Coturnix japonica: one gene and its partner. The protein of the gene in region 1 interacts with the protein of each later gene in a pairwise test. Links are inferred from orthologs where the notes say so. Each region holds a gene or a part of one and is shown on either strand. Other genes may lie near its edges. The genes, in order: MYCBPAP and MYCBP.

Evidence for each region.
Region 2: the proteins of MYCBPAP (region 1) and MYCBP interact in binary tests that used the Homo sapiens proteins (3 or more experiments, as listed by UniProt). The link is inferred for Coturnix japonica from reciprocal best matches to the Homo sapiens genes MYCBPAP and MYCBP.

Annotation. Positions count from the first base shown.
Region 1 is NC_029533.1:9,056,297-9,060,895, forward strand, and holds the start of MYCBPAP (MYCBP-associated protein), read right to left. Parts: upstream 3,034-4,599; coding exon 2,958-3,033; intron 2,877-2,957; coding exon 2,743-2,876; intron 2,169-2,742; coding exon 2,009-2,168; intron 1,919-2,008; coding exon 1,815-1,918; intron 1,343-1,814; coding exon 1,171-1,342; intron 868-1,170; coding exon 752-867; intron 470-751; coding exon 319-469; intron 98-318; coding exon 1-97. Other genes in the region: RSAD1 (radical S-adenosyl methionine domain-containing protein 1, mitochondrial), read right to left, coding at 3,260-3,383, 3,524-3,627, 3,692-3,746, 3,821-3,968, 4,064-4,127, 4,200-4,565. UniProt on the Homo sapiens protein: May play a role in spermatogenesis. May be involved in synaptic processes.
Region 2 is NC_029538.1:2,899,095-2,903,588, reverse strand, and holds MYCBP (C-Myc-binding protein), read right to left. Parts: upstream 2,801-4,494; 5' UTR 2,707-2,800; coding exon 2,692-2,706; intron 2,559-2,691; coding exon 2,486-2,558; intron 1,281-2,485; coding exon 1,232-1,280; intron 1,147-1,231; coding exon 1,017-1,146; intron 494-1,016; coding exon 449-493; 3' UTR 391-448; downstream 1-390. Other genes in the region: GJA9 (gap junction alpha-9 protein), read right to left, coding at 3,761-4,494. UniProt on the Homo sapiens protein: May control the transcriptional activity of MYC. Stimulates the activation of E box-dependent transcription by MYC.

The DNA of each region.
Region 1 (4,599 bases):
TCCTCTAGGATACATTTCAGTTCCTGCCGCCGCTGCTTCAGGAAAAGGCTCTTATCCCAGGTCAGACGGAACGGGATCCTCTCTGGAGGCTTCTCATCTGTTGGAGCACCCACACAGGAGCTCACCACCTACTTATTTCACTCAGCCCTGCACACAGCACCCAAGGTGTGCCGCAGCACTTACAGCACTGCAGTGCTCGTGCAGCAGCCCACACCAGCCCTGTGCTTACTGCAGGCCCAACCAAAGGCAACTGGGAAGCAGCCTCTGTACCACTGGGAGGGATCACCTCGTCCTGCTGCTCCCTGCACACTCCCTTACCTGTTTCCATCTTAACAGTGTGGGGCTTCCCCACGTGGGTGACAGGCTCAGGGCAGCCCCGTTCTGTCCGTGTCAGTGTCACCGTCAGACCCGTCAGCTCATCCCCAATGCGCTCAGGTTGGCTCCAGAACTCACTTCCTACTCGGTAGCCCTATGGAAAAACAATGCTCCAACCAGCACCCTCAGGGATGTGCAGCTGTTTGCCACTTCCACAGGGACTGGCAGCTGAAAAGAAGGTGGTACCTCGCTCTGCCCGTGCAAATGTTTTAGAAGACCATAAATAATCACCCCCTGCCCCATATCCCCCTCTCTGCATGGAAGGACTTTGGCAATGATCTGAGGACAGATCTGCGCGGCTCGTATTTGCAGCAGCAGCACCTCAGCTCCTTCACAAGAACGGAGCAGCCAGGAGGCAAAGGAAGGGGGCTCTCACCTTCCCAGGAAGCAGAGCAGCGAGATTACGGTCAATGAGGTCCCGTTCTTCCTGGATCTGTCTGTAACCCTCCACGATGCTCATCAGCAGCTCATTCTCTGGCTTCTGAAGAATTTCTATAAAGGAATATGAAAGGCACTGTGCTTCTCTGGGCAGATCCTTTACTATTTTCAATGTGTAAACCCCTTATACCACCCTCATCAAGCCCACTGTGTTTCCTGCAGCCAGAACCAGCAGCTCGCCCTGCAGGGCCACCACGGGCAGCAGCACCCACAGCACAGGGAGCCCAGGGAACTCAGGTCAGTGGCAGCAGCAGGACTAACCCAGGTTGGTTCTGGCCATTGCTGTGTGCTGTGCAGCCATCAAACAGCCTCATGTGCACCCAGAATCTCACAGAACAGGGTCCCTCATCCTCTCACCTCCCAGATTCCTCTCCTGCTTCTTCCTGATTGCCATATTGCGGTGCCAGTTCTGCAGAGCTTTGTGTTCTGATGTTGGGCTCTGACGAAACCTTCTCTTTGTCTCCCCTCCACGCTGCTCTTTTAACAATGCAGCAACACGTTGACGAGGAACCTGAATGAGATCCACCATCTGAAAAGAAACAGCAAAACTGACCTCCCAGTGCACACACTGCAGGTACAGCCAGAAACGGAGGATGGGAGCAGAGAGAATCCTTCAGGCTGCAGCACCTTCATGGACCACAGGGAGGTACAAAGATGGGGCACTAAGAACACACTCAGAAATGATGGATTGAGCCAAGTAACTGAACTCAGGCAGTGACGTTATTGCAGCCCCAGCTCTCCCAAAGACGCCTGATCCCATCAGCACAAACACAAGAGGAAGCTCCTGTCAGTCTTCCCTCCACACTCTGTGCCTGCACACAGGACCTCAAAACCCACTATGCAGTTTCTCTGCAGGCAAACCCTCCCCACAGAATGATGAGGAATGAACCCCAATCCTCAGGAATTAACCCCAATCCTCAGGCCTGATGTGTGTGTGACAGGTGCTGAAATCATCATCACACATCATCATTCACCCCTCAAAAAGCACTTTTATATTCAACCTGAGTGTTTCCTCTGGCCAAGGCTTCCATCTCCAGCTCCTGGAGACTTCCCAGCACGTGGTGAGGAAGAATTTCTTCACAGCCCGCATTGAACGGTGCCGGTCCTACAAAGACACCAGCCCCGGAGCAGCTCACTAAGCACATCTGGGCTCGTCACAGCCAAAAACCAAGGGCAGACTGAAGCTCAACCCTACCGGAGAAGCGCGGCGGCTCCCGGGCTGTCCTTGTGAAGGCCGGCCGTGCCACCAGGAGCTGCGCTGCCTTCCTGGCCAACCTGGGCTGGTGTTTCCGGACGAGGAATTTCCTCCTGACCAGGATCCTCCCGGCATCGCGGGGCGGGCGAGGAGCGTGGAGCTGCGGGCAACAACCACAGCACTAGGTACAAAGTGACCTCTGTGTTCCTTCTGACCCACCCGGACACACGGGGAGCCCCATCAGCTGGGGGAGAAACTGATCCCAGCACCCAATGTGAGCCTGCACCATGAACCTGCACCATGAACCTGCACCATGAACCTGCACCATGAACCTGCACCATGAGCCTTCCCAGCCGGGTGCAATGTGAGGCCGCTGCTTTGTCTTATGTGACTGCAGACACCGGGCAGTTCCCAGCCCGCTGCTCTGAGCCCACGTTACAACCGGGGCAGGGGAAGGAGCCGAAAGTTCCCCATAGTTTCCTGTGCTGCTCGATGCTGAACGCTGCCCTGCACAGTGCAAAGGGACGGGGCCAGCAGCGGCACAACACAGTGCAGTGCATCGCATTGCATTGCAGTACAGCACAGCACAGTGCATTGCATTACACTGCAGTCCATTGCATTGCATTACATTGCATTGCATTACATTGCATTGCATTACATTGCATTCCATTGCATTACATTGCATTGCATTGCAGTACATCGCAGCTCGGTGCCGTGTCCCGCCCCGCTCTCACTCTGTGCAGCTCCTCGTCCCGCACCGCCAGTTCTCGCACATCCCGGACCCGCAGCGGACACAGCGCGGGACGCGGCTCCTCGGGTTCGGGCCGGGCCGGCTCCGGCGGCTCTGAAACGCACAACGACGGGCCGGGTCAGCGCCGGGAGCAGCCGTGCACCGCCTGGGACGCGGCCCCGGGTTTAATGATGGAGGTGGTTCCGGTGGTTCCGGTACCGGACGGGGTTGGGGACGCGTTCCGGCCCTTCCCTCGCCCTTCCCTCCTGCGCGGCGTGCGGCCCGAGCCCGGCATCCCGCGGAACGGCGACACCGCAGCCATGGCAACGGGCGGCCACCACCGAGACGAGCGGACAGAGCGGCCCCAACGCCGCCGCTCTATGGTGCCACTCTACGGTGCTACTCTATGGTTCCGCCCCGCCCCGCTCCCGGCACAGACCCACGCGGGATGTCGATGCTGTGATGGAGCCGCTGTTGTTCCGCTCCATCCGCCCGCCCCGCATCGCCCCGCACCGCGCGGCTCATCCCGCGCTCCGTCCCCCGCCGTCCTGCTCCATCTGCTCCCAGCGGTGCCGCAGTTGCCGCAGCAGAGCGGGCAGCAGCGAGTCCAGCACGGGCAGCCCGGCAGGGGAACAGCGCAGAGACCTGGACGGGATGGGACGGGACGGGACGGGACAGCTCAGCATCATCACACGGCTCAGCATCACACAGCTCAGGCCCGTCCCGCATTGCTGCCCGCCCCGTGCCCGCATCGCTGCCCGCCCCGTGCCCGCCCCGCCGCTCACCGTCCGTCCAGCCGCACCCAGCCGTTCTCCTGCAGTTCTGCCGCTTCCCCCGACGCCCCGAACGCGGCGTCCAGGCTCAGCCGTGGGGAGAAAACCCCCCATCGCTGCGGGGATGGATGTTCAGCGGCGGCTCCTTATTGCGCTGCCCGCCGCTCACCCGCCGCTCACCTGATGCGTGACGCCCTCAGCCGTGCGCAGCCCCAGCGCCAGCAGCTCCTGCAGCCTGCGGGCACGGCGGGTGTAGGGACGGGGGAAGCACAAAGGACCCCCCACCCCCGGCCCCATCCCGATGCTCACTGCTCCAGCGGGCTCAGCGCTGCTCTCCGCCGGGTGCCGTGCCCGCAGCTCCGCACCTCCCGCATCCACGTGTCAGGGTGCGGTGTCTGTACACGTGCCTCCCGCACGCGGCCGCCCTCACCCCACGGCACGAAGCGGCCGTGAGCCCCTGCGAGGGAGCAGAGAACGGACGGTGCAGAGAGCGGACAGGGCGCAGGGCACACACAGCCCCGCATAGTTACCAATACCAGCCCCAGCACTTACCCGGCCCCACACCCACGTACTGCTCTGCCCGCCAGTAGGACACGTTGTGTGCGCTGTGGGCGCCCTGCAGGACAGCGGTGCGGTCAGTGAGGAGGGGCTGCGCCCGCGGTGGGGGCACCAGGCGGGGGCTCCTCACCTGCCGGGCAAAGTTGGACACCTCGTACTGGTGGAAGCCGGCGGCCGCCATCGCGGTGCGGGCGCTCAGGTACATGTCGGCCAGCAGCTCCTCGGGGGGCTCAGGCAGGACCCCCCGCCGCACATGAGCCTCCAGCTTCGTGCCCCGCTCCAGCGTCAGCTGGTACAGCGCCAGGTGGTGGTCGCACAGCCCCAGCGCCGCCTCCAGGCCGCGCTCCCAGCCCTGCAGGCTCTGCCCCGGGAGCCCGAAAATGAGATCGAGGGAGGTGCGGCCGGGGAACAGCTGCCGAGCCGCATCCACCGCCGCACGCGCCTCCGCCGCCGTGTGGTCCCGGCCCAGCAGCCGCAGCTCAGCATCGTCCAGTGACTGCGGACGGAGCGCGGTGACAGCGGGGCCGCGT
Region 2 (4,494 bases), on another chromosome or scaffold:
TGCAACGCAAAGTCCCACCCATTTAGGACCCTATTGGTTGACAACGAAGCTTCTCGCAGCCGATGGAGGAGGTGCTGGGAGACGCTCCGGTCATATGACGGCGAGGGTGGGGACATGGGGCCGAGCCGATATATGGAGCCCCATATATACATAGATCAGCCCCTTCTCAGCCTGCACACACATGCTATACACTCTAATTTACCTCCTGCAATAGAGTTGGGGGTTGTTTTGCCTTTGAAACTCTTACACTGTGTTATTTCCTCTTTCAGCTCCTTCCTACACACACGGAAGTAAAATGACTGACCACAAATAGAGCTGCACACCCCCTGCTTGTCCTTATAGTTGAGATACCCACAGAGACACACAGCACTCACATAGAAGAAGCAGGAGTGCGGTTCACAATAAGCCCTTTATTAATAAAGCCAAGGTACGAAAGGAGAAACTACTGTTATTCATCACGCTTCTCTTCTTCAGGTGGTTCATATTGAGCCAGCTGTGGATTTAAAGAGAGGCAATCAGTTAGATGGGGCATCTTAAAAGACACAGGAGCAGCAGAGTTGGATGTTAATGTTCCATAGGGGTAAAGGGTGACCTCCTGTGGTAAAACCCAGCCACAGACCCATGCCAGGCCTCAATAACTAACACTATTTCCCCTCCTGCTTTGGAATGCCTGAATAGAAAAGCATTAGCTTCCCCCCAGCCCTGCTTTACAAAGCTCTTATGGAACCATATACACATTATCAGATAACAAATGGGACTGAATGATGAGATGGAGTTTCCCACTATCCCTTAATTTACTTATTTTGTTAGCAAAAACTGCATTTCAGAATACAAGTCTTCCATCAGAAGCTACATATAGGCAAGGAATGAGATAATATTCCCAAGGCCAAACCCTATAACATCATAATCAGTTATGGCAGTGAAAGTTAGCTGTATTATAAGTGCCAAAGCACCCTTATCAAACACAGAAGTACTTAGGAATACTAAAAAGACTTGAACACTAAATAGACTTTTACTTTGGATTTCAGTTTCTCATTCTCTTCCAGCACAGCTTCGTATTTCTCCTTCAGCTCTACCAGTTCCATACGAAGCGCCTCCATTTCTGGACTCTCAGGAGCTGAAGCTCCCAGGTGATGCTTCAAAAAGCTGATATTGTGATGTTAAGTATTTCCTCAGCTCAACAGGCTGCTTATAACAGCAAGAACCAACCCATAGAGGACAGAAAGGATACTCCAGTGCGCTGCTTGGTTTCTCTGGCTCTTCATATAAGGCCACTAACACTGCAAATACAAGACGAACAACCATTATAAGACATCCATGCAACTCTAGTTTCCAAAACACATACAGCAGACAGAATAAATACAAGTTGCACACCAAGCTCACAGCATGTTCAAGATTCTCACCTATATCCTTCATGTTAAGGACAGAGATCATCATCATAGTATCTTAGTCATGCACAAGGTGAAACAGAGCATCCTATACTTCAATGGGTGGGCAGAAGGGATTTCTTTGACCCACAGGGGACGATAGGGCTGACAATATCAGGACACGGGGAAATGGTTTTAAGTTAAAAGAGGGAAGATTTAGGTTGGATGTTAGGGGGAAGTTCTTCACTAGGAGAGTGGTTAGGCCCTGGAACAGGCTGCACAGGGAGGTTGTGGATGCCCCGTCCTTGGAGGTGTTCAAGGCCAGGTTGGACGGGGCCATGGGCAACCTGATCTATGGGGTCTCTATGGGGTCTCCTGGGCAACCTGATCTAGTAAAGGTGTATGTTTGGTGGCCCTGCCAGGCAGGGGGGTTGGAACTACATGATCCTTGAGGTCCCTTCCAACCCGGGTCATTCTGTGATTATGGAGCACAAAATGAATGACATAACACACACACACCCCACCATTCTGCTTTGATAAATGCTTCTCAAGGAGCTTAAGCGCCTCCCTCCCATTTTCAGCCACACAAACTGCACAGTTTTAAGCTAAACACTTAAAGTTAGAAGCCAAACTTGCTTGCTGCAGGGCTTGGAAGATTTGTTTTGCTTCCACATTGCAACAGCACAGCCACAGCCAGAGGAAATCAAAGGGCTCCAACACACCTGGGCTGAGCACAGAGCACACCCCTCACAGCTGCTACACCCCATAAGCAACGTGCTTTATTAAGTAGGAATATAACACCATGTTGAAAGGATCTTGAGAGCACAAAGGGATCATAGAATTATGCAGATTGGAAAAGACCTCAAAGATCATCAAGCCCAACCACAGCCTAACCAGAACCCTAAAACAACCCTACACTAAATCATACCCCTTAGCAATCATTTAAAGCACAGTGAGCCATAAGAAAGAGATAAATACGTTGAGCTTTCAACGTGCTTTTCTTTCCTATCCAGATAAGCACAGACACCTCCATTAAACCCCAGTATTAGGGGGCTGGCACAGCACATTCCCATTGCTCGGCCCCAACCCAACCCATACAGGCCTTCAATCCTCCTTACCCTTAGTGAGCGTATCCAACACCCCCGACTTCTCCAGGTAGCGCCGAAACTGCTCCCTCTTCGAATCCGCGGCCTGAAGGAGGACGCCCACACTGTCAGAGCACCGGCACATCCCTACCTACACACAGCTCGACCCCTCCCCACCACCAAGGGTTTGGGGGGTTATAAGGAAGGCCCCTCCACCCTCTCGGGCCCGCAGCCCCTACCTTGTGGTGCGCCATCTAACCCCGCAACGCCCGCACCGCCACCGCCCGCCTCTTATATGGCGGCCCCGGCTTCCTACCGTTGGCATGGCGACCCAACCGGAAGTCCCGGTCTCTATCTCTGCGACTAGGCCTTCCGGTTGTGGGAGGTTTGCGCATGCGCGGTGCTTGCAGGCTTCGGCCTGGCCCTGTATCTATACCTGTATCTATATAGATATGTTGGTCTATATGGCTGGCAATAAGAACCCATTCAGAGCCCTATATCTGCCCTTTGGGTTCCTTTCTAACCTTCCAGACTCTTGAGCTGCTACATACGAGCCCCTCAGTGCTGTCTCTTTGCTCTTTAAGCTGTGAAGTCAACACGTTTTTTGCTATAGAGGTGTCAAATGCAAATGGGGTATTCACATACACAGCATGGGGTTAAATGAGCATAATAGCACCTAAATATATCCAAAATGTCCAACCCTACATCTACACAGAGCTGAACGCACACACACTGAGAACACAAACAGCAGCTGCTGGAGAAACACCTGCAGTGAATGGATCTTCCACCTCATTTCATTTACTGGTCTCCATACAATAGATTCTGAGACTGTAATTTGTTCTTTTATGTTTATTGCTTACATATTACCAGCTATTGTAATCCCAGCTTCTCCTCCTGTGTGGCTTTGTATGTGGATTTATATGATGTATATGATGTATATGGTGTAAATGATGTATATGATGTATATGTTGTATATGATGTATATATGATGTAAATGATGTATATGGTGTATATGATGTATATGTTGTGTATGGTGTATATTATGTATATGGTGTATATTATGTATATGGTGTATATGATGTATATGTTCTCCTTAGCTGGAAGGTTAATGCAGAAGATTGGCACAGAGGTTGAAGCCATCCCTCCATCGCCAGCGAAGCAAGAAGTTACTGAGCTAAAAGCAAAGGGCTGAGCTTCTATCTTAACCTCTGCGGAAGAACTGGTTAAAGCTGAATGAGGAAGCTGCTCCTGGGCTGCTCTTATCACAAAGCCCAGCAGTTACCCAAGCACAGTGCTTGGGCAGCCATGCTATATCTGCAGGTCGGTGGGGGCTCTCCGGCTGCTTGCACTGCTTGACAGCGACAGCCGCCCTGATAAGGGCAGTGGTTGGGGGCTGCCACAGCCCCTGCTCTGCTTGGAGCCAGTGCTGGCCTCCCCTGCTGAATCAGGGGTGTTGGGGCGGCTGGGGTGCCGGGTGTCAGCTTTGGGGGGCAGTTGGCTTGCACTGAGGCTGCTCCGTCTCCTGCTGCTGCTCTTTGTAAGGGAGTTTGTGGAGGATCCAACACTCTCAGCTGCTGTGCAGCAGTTCCAGGAGGAGATGATTCCGTGCTGTCTTCTGAGGCTGGCAACAGGAAAAGGCTGCAGGGGAGGCTGCGACAGCATCTCAGCAAAGCTTCTCGAAGCTGTATCTGCATTCTGAGTACCAGCAAGGAGGTGTTTCTGATCAGCTTCTTTCTGCGAGTTCCTCCTTTCAGTCGCAGGTCTGCCCAGCAAACCTTCCCTGCACTCTGTGCTGGCATTCGGAGTCTGACCAGCTAAAGCATTCGTAGCTGGCCTTTTCTTGGGCAGTTTGTTTTCCTGGTTGTGCTGGGTGTAATTGCCTCTGTTTTCTGCGTGGTTGTTTTGAATGGGCTGGAAGATGGGAGCAGAGTTTAAGGCTGGGTAGATGGCAGTGTCTGTTTGCTTCTCCATTAAAAAGGCATAACCACCAAGTACAGAAGGGAGAGTTTTTGGAGGAGTTGCAGATATTCCCAGAGAAGAGC